2 linked regions of the Pelodiscus sinensis genome follow. The protein of the gene in region 1 interacts with the protein of each later gene in a pairwise test. Links are inferred from orthologs where the notes say so. Each region holds a gene or a part of one and is shown on either strand. Other genes may lie near its edges.

What was found.
Region 2: the proteins of RHEBL1 (region 1) and TXNL4A interact in a two-hybrid assay, tested with the Homo sapiens proteins (2 studies listed by BioGRID and IntAct). The link is inferred for Pelodiscus sinensis from reciprocal best matches to the Homo sapiens genes RHEBL1 and TXNL4A.

The regions. Positions count from the first base shown.
Region 1 is NC_134729.1:4,912,865-4,919,057, forward strand, and holds the start of RHEBL1 (GTPase RhebL1), read left to right. Parts: upstream 1-2,486; 5' UTR 2,487-2,630; coding exon 2,631-2,682; intron 2,683-3,817; coding exon 3,818-3,889; intron 3,890-5,237; coding exon 5,238-5,305; intron 5,306-5,859; coding exon 5,860-5,942; intron 5,943-6,193.
Region 2 is NC_134712.1:100,808,037-100,814,229, reverse strand, and holds the start of TXNL4A (thioredoxin-like protein 4A), read left to right. Parts: upstream 1-2,321; 5' UTR 2,322-2,457; intron 2,458-4,396; 5' UTR 4,397-4,416; coding exon 4,417-4,569; intron 4,570-5,899; exon of another isoform or gene 5,900-5,979; intron 5,980-6,193. Other genes in the region: putative 2-ketogluconate reductase, read right to left, coding at 2,055-2,084. UniProt on the Homo sapiens protein: Plays a role in pre-mRNA splicing as component of the U5 snRNP and U4/U6-U5 tri-snRNP complexes that are involved in spliceosome assembly, and as component of the precatalytic spliceosome (spliceosome B complex).

The sequences.
Region 1 (6,193 bases):
ATTCCAAGATCTCTTTCTTGAGTGGTAACAGTTATTTTAGACCCCCCATCATTTTTGTAGGCATAGTTGATACTATATTTTTCCATGTGCATTCACCTCACTGATTACCCCTTTTTCAAGATCATCTATTACATATTTGAGTGAGTTTGTCTGTCTATCCATCTGTCTGTTTGTTCAAGAGCTTCTCCTAAATAGAGCTATGACCACCAAATTTGATATACAACTTCCTTTGATCATAACTCAGAGCAGGGCTACTCAACTTTGGAAGACACAGGGGCCACAGTGATACTCACAGCACATGCCGAGGGCCACAACTTAAATGTGGTTGCAAATACATGCAAATATATATGCAAATATATGCAAATAGCATCTCACACTGATGGTTATGAATAGAAAGATTAAGGCAAAACGTAGGGCCCATCTAAGTCAGCTCTGCTGATATTAATTAAGTGCAATATATACCCAATTTCCACCCATCTGACAGCACTTTTAATGAGCAATGACAGTCCAGGAATTTAACTACTAAAACACATATCAACAGAAGACCATTATATTGACTACTTTTTTGTTTTGGCTCCCACCCATGGGCTGCAAACAAACAGGCCACAGGCCACATGCGGCCCATAGGCCGTGTGTTGAGTAGCCCTGACTTAAAGCAAGGTCAGGGTTTGGTTGTGTCAGGAAAATGGGATGTGCATGGAATGGGATGAATTGCGTCTCAGAAAACCATCCAGAAAAGAAAAAGAATCATAAGGCAGGTAAAAGGGTCTGGCTGGGGGTGCTTCTCCCTCCCCCGAGATTGCCCAAGCCTCTGCACCCTTTAAGGAGAGCAGTGGGCTGCTACAGGAACATTACTGGCTGTTCCTCTTTGTCAGGGAGCAAGGGGGAAAGTGCACAGCTTGCTGCATTCCTCACTCTGGCTGGGGAGTGCAGGGGGCAGATGAACCAGGACTCACACTCCTCCCCAAACAGCATGTGCCTGGAACAGGATTCTCATGAAACCAAACTGAAAAGAGACAGAATCACCAAATCAAGTACAGGCCTCAAAACTGACAAAACAGAGCAAATGTAGGAAATGAGCTCAGGGCAGGCCGAGGGAGGGTAGGGGCTCAGGGCAGGTATGTAGGAGCCACCTCTGTTTGCTGTCTCCAGCACAGGCTGGGTCTAGAGAGGGCTGTGCCTCCGCCCTAACTGTGGAGCTCTGTGCTGGAGCCAGGGGATGGGGGATGCCCCCCCCAACCCCAACTTCATCTGCTCCATGCTGGGACCAGAGGAGGGGGCACCTCTCCCCCAGCATGAGGGATAGCTCAGTGGTTTGAGCATTGGCCTGCTAAACCCAGGGTTGAGTTCAATCCTTGTGGAGGCCATTTGGGGCAAAAATTTGTCAGGGATGGTACTTGGTTCTGCTGTGAAGGCAGGGGACTGGACTCGATGACCTTTCAAGGTCCCTTCCAGTTCTAAGAGATAGGCAATCTCCATTATAAAAATATATATATATATATATATATAAAAAGCCATGGCACCCAACTGAGAGCTGCTACTGCCAGGGGACAGGTGGTCCTGTCCTTACATGGCCTCTCCCCAGATTAACTTGGACCTGCCCCAGCCAGGGGATTTGCACCCCTCTCCAGCTGTGCCCACTGAGCAGCCAGGGAGAGGCACTTCTCACCTGGCTCCAAGCTGCTGAGGTGAGAGAGGGCTGGGGTTGTCCTCAGGGCAGCCTGCAAATTGTCTCCCCCAGCCCAGAGAAATGATTTAAGTGAAGTGGGTACATTTTCAATTTACTTAAACAAAAAATTAACCTGAGCAAGGCTGGGTAAATCTTCTAGTTTATGAATAAGTTGAACAGCAGTGCTCCAGGAACACACCACTATTTATTACTACTCTCTCCCCCCCCCTTCTTTCAAGTGGAGTGCTTGGCAATGTTTTCATGATCATCTAAGGATCCCTCAGTTACCTGAAGGACAAGCCCTTTTCTCTTACTCAGCCTGCCTCCCTCTGCTTATAAACAAATTCCCTGCCCCCAAATACCAAGCTGGGAGCAGCACCAACTCTGGTGTGCTTAAGAGCTGCCTCTGGAGCCAGGGCAGGTGCCAGACCTCAAGTATGAAATCCAGGAGTCCAAACTTTAGGTGGGGCTACAGTCTCCCCCCTCCCCTGCTCCCCTCTTAAATGGCACCCTTGACGGAAGGGGGCAGATACACAGTAGGGCAGGGGGTAAACCATCGAGGCAGTCAGTGTGGAAGCAGCTCTGGAAGCGGTGGGGGTCCATGCGGAGTGGTGGTGGAAGAGTCAGGGAGTGGAGACCTCCCACGTGCTCTGTGCTTGTGTGTGTGTAGAACCACGTGGTCCCGTTTCCTTCCCTTCGGTTTAATGAATGGAGCCTGGCGCTCCCTGAGCGCATGCGCCGTCCCCGCTCTCCTCCCTCCTCGGAGTCGTCCCCGCCCCTCCGGCAGGGACGTCGGCCAATAGCAGCGGCGGCTTCGCAATGTTGTGGTCACGTGGGAGGCCGGGTGTTGTGGCTGCGACGACGGCCCCGCCCGGGCGGGCTCTTTATCGCTCTGGTTGTGGTGCCCGCCCTGCTCTGCCCCCTCCCGCCCCACGCGGCGTGGGCGCTGTCCGCACGGGCCATGCCACTGGTGCGCTACCGGAAGGTGGTGATCCTGGGCTACCGCTCCGTGGGTGAGTGGGGGGGGGGGTCTCCCTGCAGGACCGGGGGGGGGGTGCATGGAGCCGGCGGGGGGAGGGGGGCGATGCACGGGTCGCTTGCGGGGCCCGTGGGCGGGAGGGGCTCTGCAGGGAAGGGGGAAGCCGCGGGGGCTGGCGTGGGGTGGGGAGGGGCTGTGGCTCCTATGTGAGGTGGGGACGAGCAGCCTGCGCTGTGGGTTTCCGGCTTCCTGGCCCAGCTCTCGCACGCTTGGAGCTGATGAGCAGCATCTGTGGCAGGCGGGGGGGGGGGGGGGGGGGGTCTTGCTCAGCTGCCCCCAGGCGCGCCCCGGAGCTGGGGAAGTTATGGCCACTTTCCGGGGTGTGCTGCCCTCTGAGTCTTTGCTGTCTTCCCCCCCCCCCCCCCCCCAGCTGATCCTCCCTCGGGAGGAGCTGGGGGGGGGAAGGGGAGGCTAGGGGTCATGTGGGGTCAGTTTGCCATTCAACCACATGGCCTGCGAGGAGAGGGAGGAAATGACCGGGGTCAGAGGTCGGCCTTGGGAAGTGGCTCATTTCCTTAGATCTAGTTTCTAACATTCAGCTTTAAAAAAAAAAAAGTCTCAGAGGGATAGTCCTGTTAGTCTGTAACTTGTGTGCCTGGGTGCCCAGTCCTAAGGGCCTGCCCTGGGCAGGCAAAGGGGGGGGGGGGCTAGTCTGCTAAAGTCAGAAGCCCCCATCTCCAACAGTGGGTCGGCAGCATGGGGTTTGGGCGAGAGGGTTTAAATCCTGCTTCTGCTCAAACTATTGCCTCTAAACCCCTCACCCCTGACATGGCCAAGCAGAAGGGATGCCCTTAGTGCTGGTGTGAATTTGGAAGCTGAGTTTGGAAGTTCCCAGCACACCTTTATGGGGGTGTACACATGGGTGGCCTTGCCATGTTGGTCTCTGTGAAAGGGCAAGGAGGGGGCTCCTAGCAGCAGCAAAAGTTAAGGGCCTGTCCATTAGGCTCAGGCGGGGGCCCCGGTCTCAAGGACCCTGGTGTAAGGACCCTGGTGTACGTTGTAATTGACTAGCTTCTTAGCTGGCGCGGGCCAGCTGCAGGGGTCTGACTGCCGTGTGCGCTGTGCCTGCCGCATTCACAGCAACACGGTTTCAAATCTCTTCCCTCCAGGTAAAACCTCCCTGGCTCATCAGTTCATCGACGGGGAATTCCTGGAGTGCTATGACCCTACAGTGGAAAGCAGTGAGTCCAGGGCCCTTTTCAGGCTGAGTGAGCCTGTAGTGGGCATTGCATTGCGCTTATTTATCCCCATAGTGCTTAGGGCCCCCACCAAAACTGGCCTCCAGGGGAGGTGTTGTGGAGATTCCCCCCCCCCTTGTTTAAAGATTTGGGGGAATAGAAACACTGAAGTGGGGGGGAGGGGACTTGGCAAAGTGATGCAGCTGAGTCAACAGAGCCTTGTTCAGCACCCATCCACTCGACCAGCCTGCCGGATGCACACGCTGTGGTTCTTGGATAGGTCTAGGAACACGCGGTGTCTAGGGTAGAACTCACAAGTGCTCAGATGCCCATTAAAGTGCCAGCTGTTGGGGATGGGATATGGGAGAAAGTGACTTCCTTGCCTGGAATCCAGAGCCTTCTGCAGGAGGCAGGGCGGGTGGCAGGGTTACCTCCATCAGGGCTCCATCTCTAGCTTCAGGGATCAGCGACCGAGGGCGAGAATCTGGTTCAAGGGGGCCTTTAAGCTGAAAGGCCACGTGCTGCATGTGGGTTGGGGTGGCGGGGGGTGTTTCCTTTTGCGTTTGCTGCAAACCCCTCCCTCCTTCCTGCCCTTGGCTGTTTCTAGCCCCTTCCTGCTTTTCATGAGCCCTCCACCCCCAATAGAGCGAGGCGGTTGGGTGGGCGTTACTGAGGCTTGCCTGTTGTCCGGAAACGCAGCCATTCCTCCGGCTGCACTTAGTGTCTGTGGAGCAGCAGGTCCTGTGTGTGAAATCGCAGGAGAGCTGCTGGGTCCCAGCTAGGCGTAGAGGGTACCACAGGCCAGAGCTTCCCCTTAGCGCATTGTGGAGTCTCTGTGGCTGCCTCATGCTTGCAAATCCACTCTTGGTTGACATCCGCAGAGGAAGCTGCATCCCTTCTGGGGGGAGGAGGGAGGGCAGGATCCGCTGGGACTCCTCCAGCTCAAATGTTTCCAAGTTGGGCTTTGGTTCTGTGCGAAGCCAGCTGGGCAGGACAAACCCAACCGACAGGAGAGCTGATCTAAGCCTGGGGGGACTGGTACAGCCCCCTGGTACCAGCCCAGCAGGACCCACACCAGTGGGGGGAGCTGCATCCGACAGGCTGTGCGCAGAAGCCCAGGGGCTTGTCTCCTAGTCACTGCTCCTTCAGCAACCGGAACCCGGGGCGGGAGCGGATGCCCTTCAGGGATTGATCCTGGGACCTCTGGGTCCAAAGGGCCAGGCTGTTGGCTATGGGGAGGAGTGGACTTGTAAGCCTGTGCCTGGCCTGGCCACCAGAGGGCAGCAGGGAGCGGTCGGGCTGGGTGTGGGGACTGTTCCCTGTAACAGGTCTCTGCGATTGATTCCCCCAGCCTACAACAAAATGCTGATGGTGGGAAAGGATGAATTTCACCTCCAGCTGGTGGATACTGCAGGGCAGGTAAGACCTGGGGGGGAAACGGGTGTAGCTTTCCACATGGTGCTTCCTCCTGACGGGTCTCCCTCTCCACCCCCAAAAGGGATATATGATGCAGCCATCTCTGGCATGGAACCTTTCCCTTATCATGGCAGCCGTTTAGATCAGGAAGGGTGAAATCCTGTCTCAAGACCAGAAGGACAGTTAGGGAGGGGGGTAGAATTTGGTCAGGTCCCTCCCCCCTCCCAAAAATAACACCGTTTCAGTGGTTCTGTGTTTCCAAAGGAATTAACCTCCAGCAGCAGTAGTGTCCTGTAGCATCATGCTGGGGCACTAGCCACCTAGAGAGAAAAGTACCCCCCCCCCCAAAAAAAAACCCACCACCTGGGCTTTCTGTGGTCTGCGGGAGGGTCTCCCACCCATGTGCCAACCTGGCTCGATTCTGTTTAGCGTGGGCTGGGCTCCCGTGTCTCGGCAGGGTGGGATGCTGTAATAAAGTGGGGTGGGGGAAGAAGCTGTCTTGTCTATTTCTCACCCGCCGCTGTTCATGCGACTCTCTCCTGCCCACGGCGCCCCAGGACGAGTACACCATCCTGCCCCATTCCTTCAGCATCGGCATCCACGGCTACGTGCTGGTCTATTCCGTCACCTCGCTCCGAAGGTGAGGGCTCCCCTGGGGGGTGGGATTGGTGCTTGACTGTAGGGGCCGTGAGCTCCGTGTCCTAGGGGCCAGATCTCCAGATCGGAGCAGAGTCGGCTCCAATGGGTGCTGTTCCTGGAGTAGAGGATCCGGAGGGGCCCTTGGCTCCCATGTGTGACTCCAGACAGGTCTCGGGAAGACTGGCCCACCCTGAGCCTACAGGAGGGGAGCAGGGATGGGCTGAGTCCGGAGCGGCCCAGCCCAGGGGTGGA
Region 2 (6,193 bases), on another chromosome or scaffold:
GGTCCAATGTTTGAAGACATGCCCCTACAAAATAAAATATTATACAGACAGTTTAACAAGCATACATTTAAACCATTTCTTAGAAGAAATAATTCAGATCTTTGTTGACTAAAGAAGATTCCCTGTAAATAATAAATAGATTTTTTTAAGGGTCTATGGGCACTGGAGTTAAAAAGTTACTTTTTAACTAAAGTTGCAGAGCATGAGCACTCCGTAAGGAAAAAACCTTTATAATTTTCATATGCCAATGCTTTGCAGCCAATTTGTCTCCCCATGCCCAATCAGCTGATCATGCATTTTAATATAAAGGACAGTAACTGACCAGAACAAGATCAAGAAAATAAAGTAATTTAATGAACAAAGTAATCATGTTAGTACAGTGAAAAAGTCCAATCTATTCTAGGTGTGGCTGCTGTCAACTGACAAGACTTTTGAACTCTGCAATTCACACTGTTGCAAACCTTATTAGAGTCTACTCTAACCACATGCAGACATTAGAATTCTTAAAGCATCATGCAGCACAACCTCCTAATCAGGGAAAATTAGATTAATCATCCAGGATAAAATCTCTTCACTGACTGTCTTTAGAATGAAAGAGAAAATAGTGGAATTACACTTTTTGTTCTTAGTGCATTAACCTTCCTTCTCACTCAGATCTGTACTTATTTTAGAAATACTTTCTCTACATTCATAAGCAGAAGTTAAAACCCCCCTATTTTTGCAGACCGTGACTCCTCACCCTACTCTTAATACAATGCTCTGATGCTGGGTATATCTACAAAGCAACTGGGATAACAGATACAAGTAAGCATATCTGAGCTAGCTCTAACTGAGCTAACTCACTAAAAATAGCAGACTAGCCACAGGAGTTCAGGCAGCAGTACAAGCTAGCTCAAGTCCATACCTGTGGTTCTAGGAGTACGTATCCCATTCTGCTATCTATGCTGCTGCAACTACATTACAATTTTTCAGCAAGTTAGCTTTATCAAAAGTTATCAAAGCTAACTCAGCCAGGAATGCCTATGTATAGTATAACTGAACTGCCTGATTGCAGTGTAGACACACCCACAATGGTCCAGTGATAGAGATGTAGCCATGTTAGTCTGATCTTGCTAAAAGAAAAGGAAAAACTATGTAGCACCTTAAAGACTAACAAGATGGTTTATTAGGTGATGAGCTTTCGTGGGCCAGACCCACTTCCTCAGATCAAAATCTGGAAGAGAATTGGCATGACCACATATACCAAAGGAATACAATGAAAAAAAAGTGAACACATTATTGTCAGTTTTATAATGAAGTGTCTGAGATGTTTTACATCTGCACTTGAAAGGGAATCCTCTGAACTGTCATTCATGTTAAAATTCGACACTTGCCAACAAGGACTTAACAAACATTTGAACTATCTCACCCATTACCAAGATAGTTTCCCCAATTATCACCTCTAATACCATTAACTCACAAACATCCCACTCTCCCCACCTCTAATATCATCAATTCACAGACACTTACCTTCCTTCCTCCCCCCCCCCCCCCCACATCCCCCTTCTGTTCTGCAATGTGATTTGTGCTTTTCATATTTGTTCATTTTTTTAATTGTATCCTTTGGTATATATGGTTGTGACTACTTTCTTCCATTATTTGATCTGAGGAAGTGGGTCTGGCCCACGAAAGCTCATCATCTAATAAACCATCTTGTTAGTCTTTAAAGTGCTACATTGTCCTGCATTTTGCTTCAACTACCCCAGACTAACACGGCTACATTTCTATCACCATTCTTTTGAAAAAAGGCGTTCTTGAATGCAAACAGGGCTTTTTCGAAAGAGAGCATCCAGACTGCCGGGGTGCGCACTGTGGAAAAAGCAGCTCGCTTTTCCGAAAGAAGAGGCTGCAGTCTAGACACTCTCTTTCGAAAGAGGCTTGTGGTCTAGACGCACCCAAAGCGAGTGCAAAATGCATCCACTTTGTGCGTGGGCAGGGCTGTACAAAGAACTGCGCAAGCAATGGCGAAATATTGCCTGGAGCAGCAGGACGTACACAGGTACGTATTTACATACGTGATTCGCTGGATCTCTCCATTGGGGCATCAGGCGGTGAGATATCTTGTTACAACTAACATGAGAAACTAAGAGTTTAAACGCCTATTTAATGATCCCCCCCCCCCCCCGCCGTTTTAGGGAGTTGGTTTGCTCCACCTCTCCACGTTCGTACAGGGACCCGTCAGAAAACAGCAAAAACTCACCCCCTGAAGGGAAGCCCTCAAGCAAGATGGCGAGACCACTCCTTCCGCCCGTGGCGGTGTTCTGCCGGGGCACGCACTCCGTCACTTCCGGCGCCCTCTCCGGGAGCTCGTAAAGCGCTGCGCATGGGAGTGCGCCCCCGGCTGGTCCCCGAGGGGCTCGCGGCGCGGTCGGGCCGTTGTGGCGCGTGGTGTCAGCAGCGGCGGTTGCTCTGTGGGAGGTGGGTGCCCCGGGGGTCGCAGGGCGGGCTGCGCGCGGACTGTTCTGGGAGGGGAGCCGCATGAACCTCCCCCCGGGCCGCTGCTGTGAGGGCAGCATGAAGGGCAGTAGGGGGGGCCGTGGGGGGCCTGTATGAGAGGGGCCCTGGGGAACGGTGTGGGGGCCCTGGGAGAGGCTGTGGGGGTGGGGAGGGGGCGCTGAGGGGAGGGGGAGAGGCGAAGGCGGGACCCTTGGGAAGCGTGTGGGGGAGGGGTGACGGGGGCACTGTGGGAGTGGCCATGGAGGTGGGAGGGACGCTGGGGGAGGGGCTACAGGCGGTGCCATGGAAGGGGCCATAAGGGGGTGTGCCGGGGGAGGGGCTGTTATGTTTTTTTATGGATTTTAATGGCCCCATGTCATTGGCCCCATTTGCACCACTTTGCCCTCCCTGGTGGCAACACCAACATCGCACCATCCCCCGCTAAGGGTGTTGAGGACTAGTCAACTAGTTGATTCCTCCCCTCCCCTGTACTGCCTCCATAAGATAGAGGCAGCAAAGGGGGGGAAGGGGTATTTCAAAGCCACAGCTCCGCACAGCTGAGCCAGGGATCAGCTGTGCGGTACTGCCTGCAGCCCCAGTACAGCTGATTCACAGCTCAGCTGTGCAGCGCTGCCCTTTCAACATGCCCAAAGTCAGCTGGGGACTCTGCTGCCTCCATGTTTCAAAGGGGGAGCCACGGAGCCTGGGGTCAGCTGGGGAGGCCCCAGTTGATCCTGGGTTCCACTGAAATGCTGTGCGGAACTGGGGTCAGCAGTGAAGCAGCGGAGCTGACCCCGGACTCCAAGTGGCATGCAGCACAGCATGGAGTCCCGGGTCAGCGGGGGACTTATAGTCCCCCACTGACCCGGGGCTCCATGGCTTTGAAATGCACAAGAGCCTCCCACTGGGGACTCTTGTACATTTCAAACAGGCACCTGTGGAGTTCCATGTTCCTCCTTTGAAATGTACAAGAGCCCCAGCAGGGTCTCTTGTACAGTTTGAAGGATGAATGCGGAAGTGCCTGTCGAGTAATCGGTGGAAATTTCATTGACTTACTCAACTAGTCAGTTAACCACATTTTAACATCCCTAATCCCCACCATGCAGGGGTTTATAGTAATCTTCGGTCCTGGAACTAGCAGTGCTAGGGCTGCTTCCATACCCCTTGGCTTGCCGTGGTTTCCATTATGCACATGTTTTACAGTTTGATTCAATGGTTCTTGGCAGCCCCACTATGCAAATCGTTCCAGCACCCCTGGTAGTAACAACTCATTTAAAAATGGTGAATTTCGGAGAAAATTTGTTAGATCTCTGAATGTGGTACAGTACATCTGACTTGACTGCTGATATTGCTGGGCCTATTGGTAAAAGACTGAAAATAAGGGAATGGAGATCATGAGGGCTGAAAGAGTTTCTCTCCGTTCTTCCCATTCCTGGACAGGAGATCTTTCTGGACTGGCTGATGGTTGTCATGTGAACCTTGGTCCTGATCCATACTGAGCATTTCCTTAAACATCTCCCACCACTACTTTAATGCCAGTGGTAGCACTTGTGTAGAGAGGTCACAGTGTAAATAATTAACATGTCATTGAGGGCTGTTCTGACACAGGCTAGGAGGTCACACAATAGTAAAAATGCTCACTGTCATTCTATACTAGAAAATACTGGTGATGAAGCTGCAATGGTGGGAAATACTAAGAAAAAGCACAGTATAGACACAGGATTAGGAAAATTGGGTAGTCTTTATCAGAAGTATTTCACTATCAATAATATTTGGGGGGGTGTTTTAAAAGGAATAAGTTAGGTCTGGGTATATGTACATCAGTTTAAATAGAATTAATTGACAAGTGTTTATAATTAAAGTTAAGTAGATATCAGGAAGTAGAATTGTAAGTTCTTAGATGGTTTCTGTCCTTTTCCAGGTGTTACATAAAGTTTAAAGATGTCGTATATGCTTCCTCACTTACACAATGGCTGGCAAGTAGACCAGGCCATTCTTTCAGAAGAAGACCGTGTGGTGGTCATCCGGTTTGGACATGACTGGGATCCAACTTGTATGAAAATGGATGAAGTTTTATATAGTATTGCTGAGAAGGTAAATGTTGATCGTCATTTGAGATAATTATATGTTTCTGTTCAGCATCTGAAATTATTTGTTTTTTTTAGTCTAAGGCAGTTTCTAAGGGTCTAGGCAATACATCCCACTTCTTCTGTTTCCTAAAAGAACTATATCTACATTGAATGAATGTGAAACAACTATCTACTTCCATAGTCACATGAAATAATTACCCACCATGTTGTTTAATATTTAACTGAATGGAAGCAGTACTACAAAATTCTAAAATTGAGCATCAGTCCTTGAGAATATTTTTCTTTTCTGACTGCTGGTAACTTAACATCTAATAGTCTAGGCCGTTGAAAGGGAAACTAGTTTCATTAATAGAACTGGTATGAACATTACAGGTAAGACTGAGCCATCATAGTCACTTGATACTCAGAATGTGTAATATTAATACACTAGCAACTTCACAGTTCTTTGGAATAGCTTTAAAAGTTTAGATGTTTTGGTATATATAGTTTTATTTTTAAAAGGTAAATTTTGAAATGCATGGAAAGAAATTTACTGAAACTCTATATTCAGGCTTGGCTGAAATTGATGCCACTCCTTTGACTTAGAGCATGCCCTTAGTTATACAAGGTCTGAAATGAATTTTAATCTGTACATATTGAGCCAGTCTCTTGAAGCTGTCTCAGATTGCAGTGATATTCTGTGACAAACCAATCACCCATTTAAGCATCTTAGATATTGAGAAAAAAAATTGAAGTATTGTTTACATAAGTTTGCGATTGGATATATTTTATCCTTTCATGTCCTCTTGGATAATGTTCTTGCATAATAGTGCAACTATACAGAATTCTTAGCAAATTATTTGTTAAACCTCATAAGAAAAAAAAAAAAAAAAAGCAAACTGAAATGAAACAAGAACCTAGTCAGAAAGTCTGCTGTGAATTCACCTTAGTCAACAATTGCTTCCAAAATCATTTGTACAATTCTCTATACGTACAATTTGCTGTGTGCTCCAAATGTGAGGCTGTTTCTTGGCAGTCCTTTCTTGTCTATGGTAGTCTTAAAAAATTGTATTTCTCTTGATCATCTGGTTGTTGAAGCCTTCTGATAATTCTATTGTGCACATATCAAATATTGAGAAATGCAGGATTTAAGTTAAGACATTTCTTTAGCACAGATTCTTTACATTCTGTCTTTATTTATTTTTAATGTTGTGGAAATTGATGGAATATGTATAGGAATAGACTATTATCTACCTTTGGCAGGATTCTTGGCAATTTGGCAGACATACTGGCATTTCAGTTTTTGAGGGGAAAAAGAACAATGTAACTTTTTATTTAAAAATCTCCCTCTGCAGAAATGGCAGGTTAAAGGGGGAGATCCTTCCTCATCCTCTTGCTTACGAGCCATGTTTGGATCTCGCAGCTGTTTTAAAGAGTGAGTAAAAGTTCCAATTGTACAGGTGATTGTAATATAGAGCATAGTACAAAATGTTGCCATGCTAGCTGCCTGCTACACTTGAAGAAAATGTAGGTCTATTTCACTCAGTACTGAGGCAGGACTTTTTAAATTTTCAGTGCATTTTTAGGAAGTAGTAAGGAAGTACTTTATAATCACTGTGCAGTTGAATTTTATTGACCCGACTTTTCTA